3 linked regions of the Caenorhabditis elegans genome follow. The protein of the gene in region 2 interacts with the protein of the main gene of each other region in a pairwise test. Each region holds a gene or a part of one and is shown on either strand. Other genes may lie near its edges. The genes, in order: F57C9.4, C09G1.4 and T04C9.1.

The links.
Region 1: the proteins of C09G1.4 (region 2) and F57C9.4 interact in a two-hybrid assay, tested with the Caenorhabditis elegans proteins (2 studies listed by BioGRID).
Region 3: the proteins of C09G1.4 (region 2) and T04C9.1 interact in a two-hybrid assay, tested with the Caenorhabditis elegans proteins (2 studies listed by BioGRID).

Annotation. Positions count from the first base shown.
Region 1 is NC_003279.8:4,828,236-4,836,123, forward strand, and holds F57C9.4 (C2H2-type domain-containing protein), read left to right. Parts: upstream 1-1,904; coding exon 1,905-2,021; intron 2,022-2,074; coding exon 2,075-2,365; intron 2,366-2,410; coding exon 2,411-2,488; intron 2,489-2,997; coding exon 2,998-3,277; intron 3,278-3,593; coding exon 3,594-3,761; intron 3,762-3,809; coding exon 3,810-3,910; intron 3,911-3,958; coding exon 3,959-4,072; intron 4,073-4,118; coding exon 4,119-4,370; intron 4,371-4,413; coding exon 4,414-4,525; intron 4,526-4,576; coding exon 4,577-4,649; intron 4,650-4,698; coding exon 4,699-4,806; intron 4,807-5,234; coding exon 5,235-5,408; intron 5,409-5,455; coding exon 5,456-5,499; coding exon of another isoform or gene 5,500-5,549; exon of another isoform or gene 5,550-5,712; coding exon 5,713-5,799; intron 5,800-5,846; coding exon 5,847-6,165; intron 6,166-6,619; coding exon 6,620-6,710; intron 6,711-7,132; coding exon 7,133-7,294; 3' UTR 7,295-7,387; downstream 7,388-7,888. Other genes in the region: htp-3 (HORMA domain-containing protein), read left to right, coding at 31-395, 446-1,441.
Region 2 is NC_003284.9:15,993,882-15,998,820, forward strand, and holds the start of C09G1.4 (uncharacterized protein), read right to left. Parts: upstream 3,057-4,939; 5' UTR 3,041-3,056; coding exon 2,959-3,040; intron 558-2,958; exon of another isoform or gene 334-557; intron 1-333.
Region 3 is NC_003281.10:5,991,438-5,996,238, reverse strand, and holds the start of T04C9.1 (Rho GTPase-activating protein 26), read right to left. Parts: upstream 3,021-4,801; 5' UTR 2,966-3,020; coding exon 2,812-2,965; intron 2,735-2,811; coding exon 2,639-2,734; intron 2,054-2,638; coding exon 1,764-2,053; intron 1,355-1,763; coding exon 1,255-1,354; intron 850-1,254; coding exon 788-849; intron 738-787; coding exon 663-737; intron 604-662; coding exon 525-603; intron 1-524. Other genes in the region: T04C9.2 (uncharacterized protein), read right to left, coding at 4,009-4,359.

The sequences.
Region 1 (7,888 bases), on a different chromosome or scaffold from region 2:
GAAAAAAAATTAATTTTCTAATGTTTATAGGTCGTCAAGAAGTACGTATGGACGAAGATGTGGCAAACGAATCAATTCGTTGTAATCCAAGTATGGCCAGTGAAATGATGGTTCTGCAGTCCGAATATAATGTATTGATTGCTGATAATGATGAAGTTCCAATGGTTGTTGAAAGGGAACGTTCTCCAATAGTGAAAGCTGCAAAGAAACGTTCAACGAGAGCTCCCGCTGTCCCGATAACTCCAACGGAACCGGCTTCTCCCGTGGAGTCCCCGGTGAAAGAGCAACCTCAAAAAGCGCCAAAAGCTCAGATGAGACGTTCCAGTAAACGCACCACGAAGAACAATGAACGATGCGAACAGAAAGAAGAAGAACCAATAGTGAACCCAAAAAGGGTAATTATTTTTATTGTTATAATAAAAATGTTAAGTTCAATAATTTACAGAGAAGTGCTCGTCGGCTTGTACCTCCAGTTGAAGTCGATGAACAGCCAGAAGAACAAAATGATGATGATGCTCAGAATTCTCTTCAAATTGACTCTGATGCTCAGAATTCTCTTCAAATTGACTCTGATGCTATTATCACCTCTCCCGAGAAGAGAAATGAATCAAAGTCTGCAATACCTGAGGAAGCTGCGGATCTAGATAATACTACATCTGAGAAGCAGGAGAGCTCAACAGCAAGATATGGCGTTTCAAATACTTCTATTAACAGGAAAAAACCAGACCCAGTTGCAAATCCGGTTTCGGAAGAGGCTCAGGTAGATTTGGCGAACGGTAGTATCCCGGATAAAAGACCACGGAAGAGAAAATATGGACGAGTGTCGAGTATTCTCGACGTCGCTGATCTGCCAACTGACGATACAGTGGAGGAAGACGTTCGTGAAAGTCCCATCTACGGTCGTGTACCAAGTATATTGGATGTAGCAAGGGCTGAGGAGAACGATGCTCAAAATGATGCTCAAGATGCTCAAAATGAAATTGCTGTTGAGGGACTTGCCGACTTATCAATTGACACCGAGCAGCATGAAGAAGCAGCTCCAATTAATGTTACTGGTCATCAATCGGAGAGCGTTCCAATCATTGTGACGGAGCATCAGTCTGAAGAAGCTCAAACGGTTGTCACGGAGCAACCAGCAGGAGCAGCTTCAGTTATTGCTGCGGAGAGACACTACGGCCGAGTTTCGAGTATTCTCGATGTAGCTGGTTCGTTCGCTGACGTAGATCCATCAGGTGCCGCTCCAGCTATTGCCACAGAGAGACACTACGGCCGAGTTTCGAGTATTCTTGATGTAGCTGGTTCGTTAAGTGACGTAGATCCACAGGAAGATACCGAAAGCTCCACTCAAAACCAATCGACTTCCAAGAAATTCAAACCAAACCCTCCAAAGGCAATGAGGTACGGCCAGTCGCCGAACATGCCAAGTAGAAGAGGAAACTGAACGATTTCTGGACAATCGTGTACAATTATCAATCTGTTCCATTTTTTTGTTGTTTCTTCGATTTCCTTTTTAATAGTTGGACAAATGCCTTAGTTTTCGAATGAATTTTTTAAATATTAATTTTCATATCCGATGATGATGGGAATTTGTTAAAATACAAAATATTACTTGCATGTGATGAAATATTTAGAGCTATTCAAGTATTTTCCAGCGTTTCAGAATTCTTTCGTTGGCGTTCTTTTTTGAACATAGCGCCGTTTTCTTTCTCAAAGGAGCGCGGTGACATACACTTGTTTCCCTTTTTTCAGTGGCCGTTCGCTCTTTACTCTAATCGATTTCACTTTGGCATTCTGTTCTTATTCCAGCTAAAGTTTTTAAGAATTGTGTTTTTTTAATGAATTTCTCTTTTTGGGTTCTATTTAGTTCGCCACATTTTGAAAAAAATCAACGTTTTTCAGGATAAATGACATCATTAATCGATTCGAGGGTGCTCTACGAGAGTGATTTTTCCATTTTCAACGGTCGACTATGTTCTCTACGCATATCAGCTGTTACCAATAATGAAGAGGGTATTGAAAAAGTGAGATTAATTGGAGATATATTGATTTTTAAATAAAAATAATTAATTTTCAGATTCGAATAACGTCTCCTTCCGATGCTACAATTTTGCTAGATACATCGATCAGTTCTGACGAGTGTTCCAGTTTTATTGAAATTTTGAAAGAAATCTCCACGGCACGGAAAAGCGATCCATCGATTTTAGGACCACGGATTGAAACAATACATTCGGAAAATGAATATCCATTTCAAATGGTTATTGAACCGATTAACAGAGAAAAACATTCGGGAAAAACTCTTCCACTTTCTCATCCACCACCACAGGAACGATGTGATTATGTTCTTCAATTATATGCAAAAGAAAAAGTAAAACTAAATGGTCAGGATTTAATGAAAAAAAAAAAATTTCAGGTACAACACCAAAGCCAAAAAACAAAAGTGGAAGAGTTGACGAAGCAACTTCAACAAGCCAGAGTTGATTATAACACAGTGAGTTTGTGTTGTCAAAATATAGAAAATATTTTGATTCATATGGAAAATAAAAAAAAGCAATCGGCAACTTTCAGCCCATTTTTCCAATGTTCCAGTTGAAAAAAAAATTATTTTCAGATAATTTAAGTGATTTTCTATTATTTTAGACACTAATTTTCATTTAAAAATATTGGAAAACATGCCATTTTGTAGAATTGCCGCCCGCGAATAATTTTTTACAATTCTACAAAATAGCATGTTGCACCATGTTTTTCTTAAAAAATTATCGAGTTTTTTATATTTTATTTTTTAGAACTTTATTCGGTGCTTACGTTAAAAATAAATTTATTTTAAGATGAATCAAGTGGTCAAAAAAAACATATTCTGACATTAATTTTCAATGAATAAAAAAACAAAATCTTTTAATTTCTTCAAAACCGCCAAAAATATTGTATTTTCGCTTCTGAATTCAGATCTGAAAAGTACTAATTAATGAAATAATTAATCAATAACCCTATCTTTTCCAGCTAAAACAACGATGTGACTTTCAAGAAAAAGAAATTGCACTTCTCCGGCAGATTACAAGTTCCACAGGATCTGGAAATCGAAAAAGAAGTCGTGACGATTCTGAAACTACGCATATAAAAAAGCGAAGATGTGGATGTGGAGATGATGGAGAATCGTGTGGTTCTGATTGTGATGGAATGGATGATGATGAAGAAGATGAGACTGATACAGATGTTCAAATGTTTCGAGCAGCCACAGCTCAATTGCAAATGGCTGCAGCAGGAAGGAATACTCAAAATGGTAAGTATTTTGTCTGAACATTGACGAAATCTTCGCGTCGGTTTTCGATTCGCGGTTTTTTCTCTATTTTATTTTTAAAATTAATATTCTTCCCGTTTTTAATAATTCTCTCTGTGCTTTCCCTGTGTAAATATTTTCGTATTGACTTTTCGGTCAAGAAAATGAATTTTCAAAAAAAAACCACAAATTTTCAGACTAGTGACAGGAAATCGATGATGCGAAAATAAAAACAGGGAAGATACGGAAAGAATTGTTTAAAAACGCTGATGTAGGAACACGGACCACGTAACGAATATTTTAATCCAAAAATTTTCAGGCACCTCTTCACATCAAAAACTGAAACGAAAAATTCCAAAAAGTCAGTCGGTTTCTATTGGAAATGCTCGTGGAATGGTCACACTTCCCAACTTATTGCAACCAAAATTAGAAGAAAGTGACGACGGATATAATTATTCTGGACGAAGCTCGACTCAATCAAATATTGGTATAATGGTTTTTTTTTGAAAATTTCAAAAATTCGTACAATTTCCAGACAAGCTGGAGTTGGCGGTTCGTCGGGAGAGTATAGTAGACATCGGAAGAGCCGTCATTGATGGTATAAAAAACAAAACTCTAACTGAAAATCAATTGGAGGTACAGCTTAAAACTTTGAAAATTAAAAATTAGAAAGATTTTTTATAGGAATTTTGCAAAACCACTCACAGACCTAACATCTCAATTTTCCGATTCTACAAAGATTCGGAAGAATGCACCAAAGAGGAAAATGAAGCAATTATGATGGGACAAACTGTTATGGTAATTCGAATTTTTGCTGAAAAAATCTCAAATATGAATATTCTAGATGAAAATGTTGGATCCACAAGAAAAAGCAATCGCCGGAGTTCAAGCATCAATCAGCTCACTTTCAGCAAGTTTTGCGAATCAGACCAAGCTTGGACTGATCAAGCATCAGAGGCTTACTCGTTCATATGTGACTCTGCCTGTTGACTATTTCCCTTCAATCGATCTAACGGAAGCCTATAACTCATCTAATCTCTTCGGAGCCGACGCTACAATGCAGCTCACCAACTTCTACCAAACTGTGCTCAAAAACGTACGGCCTAGTTGCTCAATTCGAATTTTAAAGTATCCTTCAGGTTTTAAATCCGGTTTATATGATCTGGATCTACACATACCGGCCATCAACTGTCAGAACTTGTGACAAACATTTTGTGGAATTCCCTCAAAACGTCATTACCACGTTATTTGGTACTTGTTACAGAAATTCGAATTAATTTTCTGAAACTAATTGAATTTCAGATATGACTACCGATATTGTAGGCCTCTACCTTCCTGAATACTTACTCGACGGTGAAATTGACCCCATGGACCCGTAAGAAATTCAAACAAGTAATTTTAAATTTATTCTTAATTATATTCAGATTTCTTCTAACAATTGATGCTGTCGATCCATTTGAAGAGATTATGAGACGTCGTACCGAAAGAAAATTGGCAAACACTACATTCAATCATGCTCTTGGAAGAGCAATGTGAGGGAATCGTATTACGGGAACACAAAATCCTGAGAATGCGCATTGCGCAACATAATTGATGCGCAAAATATGTCGTAGCGAAAACTACAATAGTTCTTTAAATGACTACTGTAACGCTTGTATCGATTTACGAGCTCAATTTTCGAAATCATTTATTTTTCGATAAAATATTAAAATTAGGAAAAACGATAAAATAATACGAATAAACAAAGGAAAATATACTATCGCTGTCACTATTCAAAAATAAATTTCAAAAATCGAGCCCGTAATTCGCCACACTCACTACAGTAGTCATTTACCGAATTCCTGTAGTTTTAGATATTGTGTGCGTCAAATAGGTTGCGCAATACGCATTCCCAGAAATTTGTGTTCCCGGGAATTCCCGTAATAACCATTGTTCCGTGTTTAATTTAAATTTCAAACAGGAAAAATCTGCGGAGCTACCATTACGATCCAACAAGAGGTATTCTGTTGAATTGCAGTGAAAAGAAGAACTGCGGAATGCATTTACAATGGGAACAAATGCGAAAGTTCCGGGAGTACTGTAGGAAGGAAAATGTTGCCTGTGATGATGCGACTCCGGAAGAAATGATTGCTTTGTTAGTTTCGTCGAATTAAGGAATTTTATTAATTCAGGAATTTTCAGCAATCTCCGTGCATCTAAAGTACATTACGAAGACTATAGCCCTGGTGATGCATCTACATCGTTGAATAATATTAACCCGGCAACAGAAACTTAATTGATAATTTCTAAATTATTTTGTTTTTCACTTCACTTATTTACATCTCTTCTTAATTGTACGGTCTCGAGAATAAAAATTTTATTTCTGGTTTTAAAGGAATGAAATTTAGTGAAAATAAAAGAAACAAAAATTGAGTAGTTGCAAAATATTTAATTTTTAGGTAATGTTTCATCGGAAGAAGGAAATAAAAATGAAATGCCAAATTTTATGGAACAACTCGAGAAGTTTTCCAGTGTTATTGTAAAAGGTAAAGCTTTTTTGAGAGAAATAATTTCTAAAATTCAAAATTTGCAGGTCCAAACCTTCCATCAACCTCTACAATGAGCACAATGCACATAAAAATGGAAAATGGAAAAGAGCAATCAGGCCCTCTTCTACTACGAAATTCACCGAATGATCAAAATCAGAAAGTCGTTGGAGTTGTTCAATACGTAATATGTCAACTGTGTCCAGAAGAAGAACAAAAATCGATGGATTTATCGAATCAGAAGCAAATGGAAGAACATTTTCTGAATAAGCATGTTGATAAGGAGAAAAAGAAATGCGAAGCTTGTCCGTCGGATCAGTTTCAGCCACATAATATTGGACAACATTATCGATTGCATACAAATAGGTGAGAATTAGAACTGGCGTTTTTTTGGTTTTTTGATGTTTTTCATGTTTTTGAGAGAAAATCGAAAATCAAAAAATTGAAAAACGAAAATTTTCGATGTTTTTTTTTCGAAAAATCGAAAAAAAATGTACAGAAAATTAACCATATTTTTAAAATCCAATTCAGTTTATATTGATGAGAAAAAACATTAAAATTTCATCTAAAAGAAGAAAAAGACCAAAGTTTTAATCAAATTTTTAAAAATTCGGAAAAATGTCGGAAATATCGAAAAACGAAAAACTTTTGATTTTTCGTTTTTTTCAATCGAAAATGTTTTTGTAAAAAATTAGTTTTTATCAAAAAATCTAAAATTTTCCGTTCTTCGATTTTTCGGAAAAAATCGGAAAAAAAGACAGCTCTGGTGAGAATACAGATTTTTTGTTTTAAATTAAAATTTTAAATTAATATATTTCAGTGTATTTGCATGCGAGCATTGCGGCAAACGAGGACGTCGGAATTTTTTGAAGACCCACATTCGAACACACACTGGTGAAAGACCATACAGAGTGAGTTATACATTTGAAAATATGCTTCCCAAATATAGATCGATCAGGGAATTTTTTATTGATAAAATGTTATTTTTAAAGTTTTGTAAATTTTTCAAAAATTTTGGAATAAAAGGCTAAAAAAGGCTACAATTTAGTTAGATCCAAAGTTTTGCAGACAATGATTATCACAAAGAAAATTCGACAAAAAAAACAAAAATCGAATTTCTCAAAAAAAAAACCTTTCAATTTTTTCTTTTACAATTAAATATTAAAATTTTTTTTTACAAAATAAAATTTAAGTTGTTTAAAAAAAAAACAACATTGTTGACATTTTTGAAAAAAAAGGTTCTTACTACAATACCACTTCCAAGGCGCACTCCGTTGTATTTTGAATCGCCTTCCTGTGAAAAAAAAATTCAAAATTCTCTCTCGTATTTCAGTGTGACACATGTTCGAAATCGTTCACCGATGCCTCAACACTGCGTCGCCACGGACTTGTGCACACTGGTGAAAAGAAATATCAATGCCCGGTGTGTGGACGAGCGATTGCACGGAAAGATAACGTTAAAGCTCACATTCGAAGTCACGGAATTCAAATTTAACGCTTTTTTATTGTCTATCGAGGTATTTTTTGAGTGGAAGCGTTGCTTTTTTTGTTTTTTGGAAAATATGTAATAAATGTATTTGCACCATCACTTGTTTTTTCTTGTTCGTTTTTTGGTTTTTGCACCCTTATTAATGTCTCTAGTTCCTACAGGCATGCTTTTTTATCTAATCTAATCAAAATTTTGGAATTTTATTTGGTTTTTTGCCCAAAATCACCAAAAACGGTGCAATAAAACGAAAAGTTTTTGAAATTTCCTAAGTTTTAGTGTTTTTACAATTTTTGAAATTTAGAAATATTCGGCCATTTGGAATTTTTTTTTGCGAAATTACAAAAAAAATAATTTTAAAAATTTAGAAAAATTTTATAAATTTTTACAGTTATTTTTCAGTATATTGAGACTGTTCTCTGACATTTTTGACAAAAAAAACCTACAGACGCCGTTAAAATCGAATTTTTGCAAAAATTTTTTAAAAAAAGTTGTTTAGGATTTAAAACTTGAAATTAATTTAAAATTATCAAATTTAAAACATTTAAACTAATTTACATATCTGGCAAAATAATGTATATAAAAATTTTTTGAGAAAATTTT
Region 2 (4,939 bases):
TTATAAATGAGATAAAATGAAAATGAAAAAAATGGAAGTAGGAGCTGGAGCGGTAGTAACCGCCGACAAAAAAATGAAAATGTATAGGCGAAAAGAAACTGCAAAAAGTAGCAGCAGGAGAGGAAGAAGAAGTGGAACGTGACGTTTTTTGGTGGCGGCAGCAACAAGGGGATCAGGAGAGGAAGAACAATGAGTTTAAAGCATGTTTGGACAGAATTATTGATGACATCTACCGAAGAGTAGAGAGCAGGGGAGAAGAAAGAGGACGGCAAAACGAGAGTGCAACACCCCATCCCTCACTAAAAAAAAGTTTTGGCACATTTTTCTTTCGTTTTTTTTTTTTCGTCCACTCCCTCGTGCCTGTTAAGGGTTGAAGTGGTTCGGTTCGACCACACGGAGAAGTGAGGCATGCTCTCGAGGAGCACTGGGAATGCCTATATCTTTGAAAGTCTGAAGTCTGAAGAAAAACTGAAGCTCTTTGAAGCCGATCTGAAAATCTTTTGCATCATTTTCAAATGGTGTCAGGCTGTCCTAATACAGTTTGATCTACAAAATCGGCGGGAATTTTTTTTTCAGAAAAATGTGACGTCAGCACACATGGTTAGCCATACGAAATCAGGGGAAAAGTTCTCCCGCATTTTTTGAAGATCAAACCAACATGGGACACTTTGACCCCACGTGGTTTTTTTTATCAAACAAATCAGTGAAAAAATTGTTTTGCATTTCTAAAATGGTTGACTGTAAGTATATTTTTAAAGCAATTTTAAAGACATCGGAAGTAGAAAAAAAGTGCTGAACATTTCAGATTTACTTTTTTCAGCTCAATATGCTTCAGTTGAGCTTCATACTTTTTCAGTATACTGTTCAAAAATTATATTTCAAATCAAAAAGGTTCCAATCAAAATTCCAAGATCAAGCTCAAGTAAACACTGGTAGCGCTACGATTCTTTGCCCTCTTCAGCAACCAATGATTATTTTCAGAATGGGCTCTCCGTTTACACACTCAAAAAAAACGCGCAAATATTCTGCATCATGGGCGCTGTCTGAATGCTCTTCCTCAAAATGCAATAAGCAGGAATGGGTTGCGGGCAAAACGCAGAACGCACTTTTGTTGGGGTTTGTTGGACCAAGATCAGCACATGGTGCCGAGCTAGAAGTGTAAAAGTTCTGAATGTGTAGTACTGGGCTCTTCGGGAGCAAAAATGAAAAAGGCACACACACATACACAGACATAGTCTCGCTTGAAAAGGTCCACGAACACAGAGACTTGGCATTTGAGATGGGTTACAAAAAAAAACGCTGACCGCGCGCCGCGTCACTTGCTCACTTTCCGTTTTTCTTATTTTGAAAAGCTTGTCGTTTTGGTGTGTATGGCATGTTACACTGAAACTGAGAAAACTTGACGCTTTGTGGTGAGCGACAAAAAAGGGAGAATTACTTTGCAATTGAAAGCCAGAGATCAAATATCTGTTAGATTCGCTTCAAAATTTTGGAATACAAACGCACAATTTAGCAGTTAAATTCAATTGCTCCAAAAAAAATTTTTTCTACACTAACGTTTTCAACACTAACTAAGAATTACTCAAGACTTACCTAACGTTTTACCTAATTTGAAAACATTTATTTCACAGAGACGATTGAAAAGTTTTAAATAGCGGAAATGCGCTCCTAAAATTTTAATAGAGTTTGTTTTGTTTCAATGACTTTCAGATCTAAATTTTCCGAAATTAGTTCTTGCAGACTATTAATGGCCACTGGAGTTTTGGGGAATAGGCAAAAACGGGTATTATTTAAACATGGAGTAGACACTCATTATGATCTAAAAAGACCAAATATCTTAATAATACAATTCAAAAAATTTCAGGCTTTTCATAATTTCCGGTTAAACTTTGGCAAATTTTCAGAATTTTGAAAAATAAGAGCTTTTGAAGAAATCCAAAGCAATTTCACATGTTCCGGGCCCTACAATGTTTTAATCCAAATAATTACTGTATAAAAAATGTAGAAACATTTTTTTGGTCGACTTCCAAAATTATGATTGGCAAAAACTGAGTAATTGTCACTTTTTGACAATAAATAAGTTTCATTATGATATGTGGTCATTTTGGGACCAAAGGAGTGGTTTTTAACAACTTTCCCACTGGCGCTACTCCACTTTTAAAGAAAAATAGCGAAAAAATTTTGCAATTTTTTAAAACATTCCGTTAAAAAATACCAAACATTTTACCGAAAAAAATATAATGTTCATAATTTTTTAATATGTTACTTTGAAAATTCTGCAAAGACCGATTTCGGAGCATATTCACAATTCTAAACAAAAATAAAAAAAAAAAAACTCCAGAAGTAGTTACGTGTTTAAAATATCTTTCATATTATGAATATCTGTATCCATAAACTGTGGCTGAACTGAACTCATAGAAACATGTAAAAAACATAATTGTGCAAAAATGGCTACACCACTGCATTCGAAAAAGTACGTTTTTGAAAAATTCATAATTTGCCTCTTTTAGCTCGGAAATAATTCATGATGAACGAATACTAAATGACTAGAGCAAAAAACAGGAAAAAAATTGTTCAAACGGTTAAAAGAAATTATGTATTACATAGTAAATGTTCCAAAAAAAACGTGAATAAATATTTGTAACCTGTTTTTTAAGCAACAAGCGCCAAAAACATTTTCCAGTCGATGCACCATGTTCGAAATCTAGTATTCCACATTTATTTTAGGCATATGGTAGGTAATAACTTTGCTCTTACAAAAAATATTAGAAACAAATCACAGAAAAAAAACATTTTTTGCGAAAAAGACACGTATTCAAAAAAAGGTACGTCTATTGAAAATTCATAATTTTTCCCTTTTCTATTTGTAGATGACGAGCGAATACTGAATGACTGGTGCAAAAAAGAAGAAATTAATTTTGAATTTGGAAAAAAAAGTGAGAAATAATTATGACGTACCTCCTTGTTGATAAAACTGGCCACGCCCCAAATTTCGAGGTTTTGGTGGGGGCATTGGAGCCTGCCGATTTCCAGAAGACATTGTGATTTGTGTCTCTGAAAATTGTAAGTTTATAAGAGAACAATTTGAAAAAAAAGATAACATATCAGAGGTAAAGAAACAAATGATAACATCAAAGACCTGATGGGATATAATCGGCCTAGTTAAGGTATGTTCTCAATTTTTGGGGGCTGCGGAAAAGTAGGGGAAAAAAAGAAGGCGAAAAAAAAGCGAGATGGACGTAAAGATGTGAAAAGTGACACTGTTAATTGGATATATATGTAAAGTGGACACAATCGTGACTGGCACTGGTGCACGTACTGACGTCTTGGAAGTTTTAGGTGTGTTTTGATCAAGAGTAATTAAATATATAAGGGGGCAAATAGCTCAGTCGGTAGTGGTGGCCGCTAGCAATCTGGAGGTCACGAGTTCAAGTCCGGCCTCACTTCCTAGGTTCACCCAGCCCCTATTGGGAAGTGGAGCAATCCAAGACTGGATTATCGGCCACAGTCCCCGGCTCGGACGTGGCTTAAATTACAACCCAGTGGGATCACCACCAGGCAGTGTACCTGAGTCCCAGATCCGCAGTGCATAGCACTTGGAGAACGGATCGTCCTTTGACCCTTTAATCTTTAAATAGTGAAAAATAGCTACCCTCGTATTGTTAGAAATATCGGATTTTACTATGATGAGTAAGGAAACTGATTGAAAGAGCATCGGAAAAAAAGATTAAGAGCACGCTTTCAAAAATACAGCTTTCTTCCAAAATAACCAAACAATGCACCTAAAACTTTCTATTAAAAAAAAACAAAAAACAACTTGTGTCCCCATTGACAATTCAATGTTTGAACACCAACTTCGGCATTCGAACTTGAAGCAAAAAAAAAACAGTTTTTCTTCACTACTATCTCTAGAATGCACACCATTCGTGGGCACACCGACCTAATAGAACTGTCCCCAGGGACGGATTGATCACGAAAAGGAAAAGGTCATACAACACACAATGCAGTCGTTCAGAACAATGTGATAACAAGAAAAAAAATAGAAGAGTGGGTGTACAGAAGAAAAGCAAGGAATGTTCTGGAAAAGTGAAAAAAAACGAACTTGAATACAGTGTAAACATTACATAGAACTAGGATTTTTTGGCGAAAACATAGAAATGGCGAGATTGTTCAGAAGAGACCCCAAAAGCTTTTGATGATAACTATTAGGACCTCCATGGAAGCGGCCGACACTTTTCGGGTTCCGCGCAGCACTAAGCAGGAGGCGCGGCTCGCGGCACGAGGCAGACGTCGCCTGCATGAAAGCCCTAATATTTATGTTTAATAAAACCACTGGTATTGCAAACTTTTTCGTGATTGTCATTGGGTTTTAATTTTAAATTGAGGGTAATGACTATAAAGAGGACTATGAAAAATTTAACTTCAAAATTCTAAACTTCAAAAACTACCGCAATACCAAAAATGTGACTCACTTATGATCAGTATCTGAACCGCCAAACCCATTTGCATTATTGCTTGGTAATCTAACACCCGAATGGCGGTAGACACACACACACGTCAAAAGTTAGGGTTCCATCCCGTCCCCCTCTCGTTAAACACATGTTTAATCTCGCCAGATGGTTGTGATGCCTTAGTGAATGATGTACTTACTCTTAAGCGACGAACTTCTCTTTTTGTGCGAGCCGAAGCAGCAGGATGTACGTGATGTATCAGGAAACACATAAATCTATCGCGAAAAAATGGGGAGAAAAAGAAAGAAGAAGAATACTGAAAATAGCGAACAAAACTAAAGATTGATAATTTATGCAACGGGTAATAGATAATGGGTAAAAAAATACTTTTCAATTTGTCGGAAAACTTGTAATAAATGCGTTCCGATTAACAGAACTAATAGTAAGATGTTAAATTATTTCGCCACAAAAAAAATCTGATAGGACCA
Region 3 (4,801 bases), on a different chromosome or scaffold from region 2:
AAAAATCACGATTTTGTATTCTTATAGCGATTTATAATTATCGACTTTCAAAAGTCTTAAAATTAATTTTTTTATCATCGAAAATTTTTGTCCTAATTTTGCAAAATTAATTGTGAATTATCTTTCAAAGTGGTTACTGTAACGCTACAAAACTGTTAAGTCTCTTGTTTTCTTTACTATCATTTTATTTTTTTCTAAATTTAAAACCACATTTCAGTAATTTTTTTAGTGAAATTTTCAAATTTCAGGCCAATTGAAAAATTGAAAATAATTTTTGGAAAAGATTTTCACAATTGAAACTGGTAATTTATTTTTTGAAAATATTAGTTAGATTTTTATAAAAAATAACAAAATCGAACGAAAAATTTTAATTTTTAAAAGAGGCTCTCATTTTGTGAAAACCGAATATTTTATTCATAAAATAATAATTTTCTGGTTGATTTTTTCTAAAATCGAGAACTTTCAGATGCATTTTTTCATTTTGAATTTTTTTAATAAACCAAATTTTGTATATAGAAACTTACTCGGAATTTTGCTCTTTTCCTGCATATACACGTATCCTTGTTTAATTGATGGCGTCGGTCGTCGATCTTCAGAACCCGGCTGTAATTTCAATAAAAATTTGCGATGAATATGAAATTCCAAAGTATGAAAAAACTTACTTTTGTATGAGAAGCCAACAGTTTTTTCTTAAGCTCTTCTGCCTCAGCATTCGTTGCATTATAATTTTCCTTTGTCTGAAATTCGATAAAATTTCGATCTGACGGGGAGAGTTTTTTAAACTAACCTTTTGAACTTTTGTTTGTACATTGTCAAGGAATGGTTTGAAATCTTGATGAATCACACTACCTGAAACAGGAAAAAGTTTTAGAAAAATGCAAAAAAAAATGATGTGTCTGGAAACCAAATTTAAAAATAATAATGCCTTTTTGTGAGTAGTTTGATTTTTTTTTCTTCATTTTCGATGATATTTCGATAATTTATAGAAAAAAAATGAAAAAATATATTTTTGTTTAATTTTTAATTTTTTTTTCATTCTGGTCGAAATTTTACATGAAATCCGAATTTCTGTAAGTGAAATAGAAAAGTTTGTGATTTAAAATAGTTAGTTTTATTTTCAAAATTATAATCGAGACAAAGTTGTCGAAAATCTGATTTTTCAAGTAATTTCTATTTTTTTTTGTGAAAAATATTCAAATTTATAAAATTTGTATAATCATTCAGAAACTTTTTTTTACCTGTACAAATACTTACCAACATGAAAAAATGAAAGCCACGAATAAACATAAGATCCTAATGTTTCGACAAACTCGAACCGCATTCGTTCTTGAACTGATTGAACTTCTGCCACATACTGTAAATTTTTTTTATTTTTTATTTTTGAGAAATTATGTTGAATATACTTTTTAACTGAAAATAGCAATTTATATTGTACTATTTCCAACGGCAAATTCTTAAAAACTTGAATTACACTATTTAGAAAAACTAAAAACGAAAACTTTTGATTTTTTTAAATTCTGAAAAGGCAGAAAGTTTTTTTTTTTTTGAAAGAAATTTTAAATTCGCAATATTTCAGAAAAAAAATTTTTTTTGTTGATTTTTTTTAATTCGAAAAACCAAAATTCCTTCGATTTTCCAAAAAAAAATTTAGAAAGAAATTTTAGTCTAAAAATAGAAAATGGCCAAAATTTCATTAATTCTGAAAATTAAAACACAAATTTTTTCCAATTTTATAATTTGAAGACAACTTTATAAACTCAAACCTGTAACGAAGCTTGAAAAAAGTTTTTCTGTTGAGTCTCCAATTGGGCATCAGCGGCTCGAAAATCGTTATTACGAACAGTACTCAGATGAAGATGTTTTTCAAGTGTTTGATAGAACTTGCTACTTTCTTTGTCATATTTATTCTTTTCCTCTTTCAATGTTCTACCAATCGCCTCAGTTCGAAACTTTTTTATTGGTTCCAAATAACTTTCTTCAGCTTGTCCAACAAGTTTCATTCGTTCATCTTCGACTTGATTGATCAGACTTCCGAATTCTTTTAGACATGTGGCTGAAAATGTGAAATATTATTTCAAAGACAATAAAAATATTTATGAAAATTAAGCATTTTGGTAAATTACAATGAGAATCACTTGCAATTTGGATTTTGTTAACTTTCGATAGATTTTTTGGGAGAAAAAACTGAAACGAATTTTTTTATTGAAGGAAACTTATAAAAATTTCAAAATTTCACGAACAATTCAGATTTCGAAGGTCTTTGTTGGAATATTGAAATTCGAGACAATTAAAAAAATTTTAAAAGAGAGTTCAACACTATTTTTTTATTGTAAAAAATATGACTTTGAAAAATTTGGCAAAAATGAACGGTTGCTACGGCAAAATACTCTTTTTTGCTATTCCTAAAAATGTTTAAAATTTTTTTTTAACTATGGTAAATTAAAAAAAATTGAAATTTAATAATTTTAAAACATTTAAAAACATGTTTTCAGCAAATTTCGATTTTTCTTGGCTGGATAATAAAATTCCGAAATTAATTTTTTTACTGCGAAATTTTTTTAAAATAAAAATGTTTTGTACTTTTTTTTTTAACATCGCGTATTTTTTTATATAAATTTTTGCTAAACAAAAGTCTCACCAATAAACCGTTCATCATCTGTCTGATTTGTTCCGACTGTTTCAAACTTGAATTCACTTAACGTCTTTGCGAATGCTCGTTGTGCTGTTGAAAGCTCTGCAATAAAAATAATTATAAATTCCACGCGATTAAATGGAAAAGTAAAGGGTCAAAAAGAGAGAAAAGCCACATACTTTTTGTGCACGCAATCAGCTCCTTGCACTGATTCTCAATGAGCTTGATGTTCTTGAAAGCGTCGTCCAGTGCCACTTCGTGATCATGCAAATTTTGTCGAAACCACGGAGAATCGGATATCGAGTCCGAAAACTCGAGCGCCCGTAACACCATTTGTGATGAGCGCAGAGTCCTAAGTAGACGGGTTTTGTCTACTGGACAAGGTGTCCTGAAATTATTTTTGATTGGAATGATTTGCAGAGATTTTCAAGAGAAAAAGCCTCAGTGATAGGCAAACATAGAGAAATGAAAAGAAAAAATTGTCTCAAAATACCACAATTTTTTCTGAAACATGAAGGAAAAGATGAGTAGAATGAGGAGAAGAAGTAAACAATTAAAAGAAAAGGAAAGAAGAACTCGCGGGGGATATGGACAAGCGAAGAGAAGAAGAAGAAGAAAAAGAAGCAAGAAACTTGATACTTGAGGCGACGAAGGAATATCTATGAGTATCTATCTATCTGCTACATGAATTCTGACACTACCAATGGAATTAGCTGATGAACCGAGCAAGAATTGATATGGAAAATGAGAAAGGTAATCAGATAAATGAAATATAAAAAGAAAATCCATCACATCATAAATTAGAATAATTATGAAGCTGCCAAAATAAAACTTCCAAGTGTGACCTATTTTACGACAAAACATAGCGTACACCTTCACAACAAATTGTCTAATCGTGCGGGAATCAACGCACATCCGGAGGATTGAAGAGGTTGCAACAATCCTGACGATGACAGATAAGAATCAAACGGCAGTGCGTCCCTCCTACGTGTAATTCTTTCGTTACCTAACGATGCGTGAGCTTCGGTTTTGAGCAAGTTCGGGCACGTCGAAAACACGAAGGCAGCCGAGTGGAAACAATTTTCGAAGAGCCCCTAACCCGGCTCATAAAGAAGAGAAGCTGGAGGAGAGAAGATGCGAGAAAAGTAGTTGTTGCTTGTGCCTCAAAAAGAAAGAAACCGAAGATGACGATGTGGGTTCCAGAAGATGATAAGGATGGGGCTAATAATGATGATTAGGTAAAAAAGAACGGAAGTTTGAGACGAAATAGAGGAAAAGGAGAAGAGAAGTCATGGCTCGGATGAGGACGAAAAAAATGTTGGAGCGACCAACAAAAATAACCAAATTTGTATAGGAGCCGAAACAAAGTTATCGCGTTATTTGTGTTGTGGCCATGCTGTTGTGTGCCATCGCCAAAGAAGGAGAGGCAGAGGAGAAGGACGAGGACTCCAACACAATTCGTCATTTTTTCTAGCTTTTCTCATTTTTTCAAAGAAGAAGGCGACGACGACGACGACAGTGATGGCGTTTATGGATGGAAGGGATGACTCTTGCCGTCTGGAACTTGTCGATCCGATTCGAATCGAAAGGAAAGGCGGACGACGACAGCGGCAACGGGAAGCAGCAATGCGGAAAAGAACAATTCTCCGGGGGGAATGAGTATATATGGGAAGAACGAGCAGTAGAAGAATGAGCGAAGAGAAGGACTGCTTCTTCTTCTTCGTCATTTTCTTTGCTCCGCTCTCGTCATTGCAATGGCACAAATACATACACACACTTGCATCCGTCCTTTCGTCTTTAGAATATATCCTAAAACGAAACACTTGACAATATCAACGCTTTCTAGTTTTTCTCAAAAAATTCGAATCATAGAAACGAACGGATGAGTCGCGGCACGGCGAACGTCAGAATATTCGAGTGGTCGACGGAAAGCGATTATGAAGAGGAAAGAAAAACGACGACAGCGGCGACGGAGGAAGAAGTAGGGGAAGAAGAAGAAGTTGACGACGTCACAAGCGGAAGAGATGGGACCGCGAAAAATTGAAGAGAATGAAAAGCAGAAAAAGATAGAAAAAAGTAGTAACAAAGTTGAAACGAACGAGTCGGTTATTTCATTTTGTAGTGAAAGATCAGGTGTTTTTTGAATGATGCTGCGCGGGGAAAAATCAA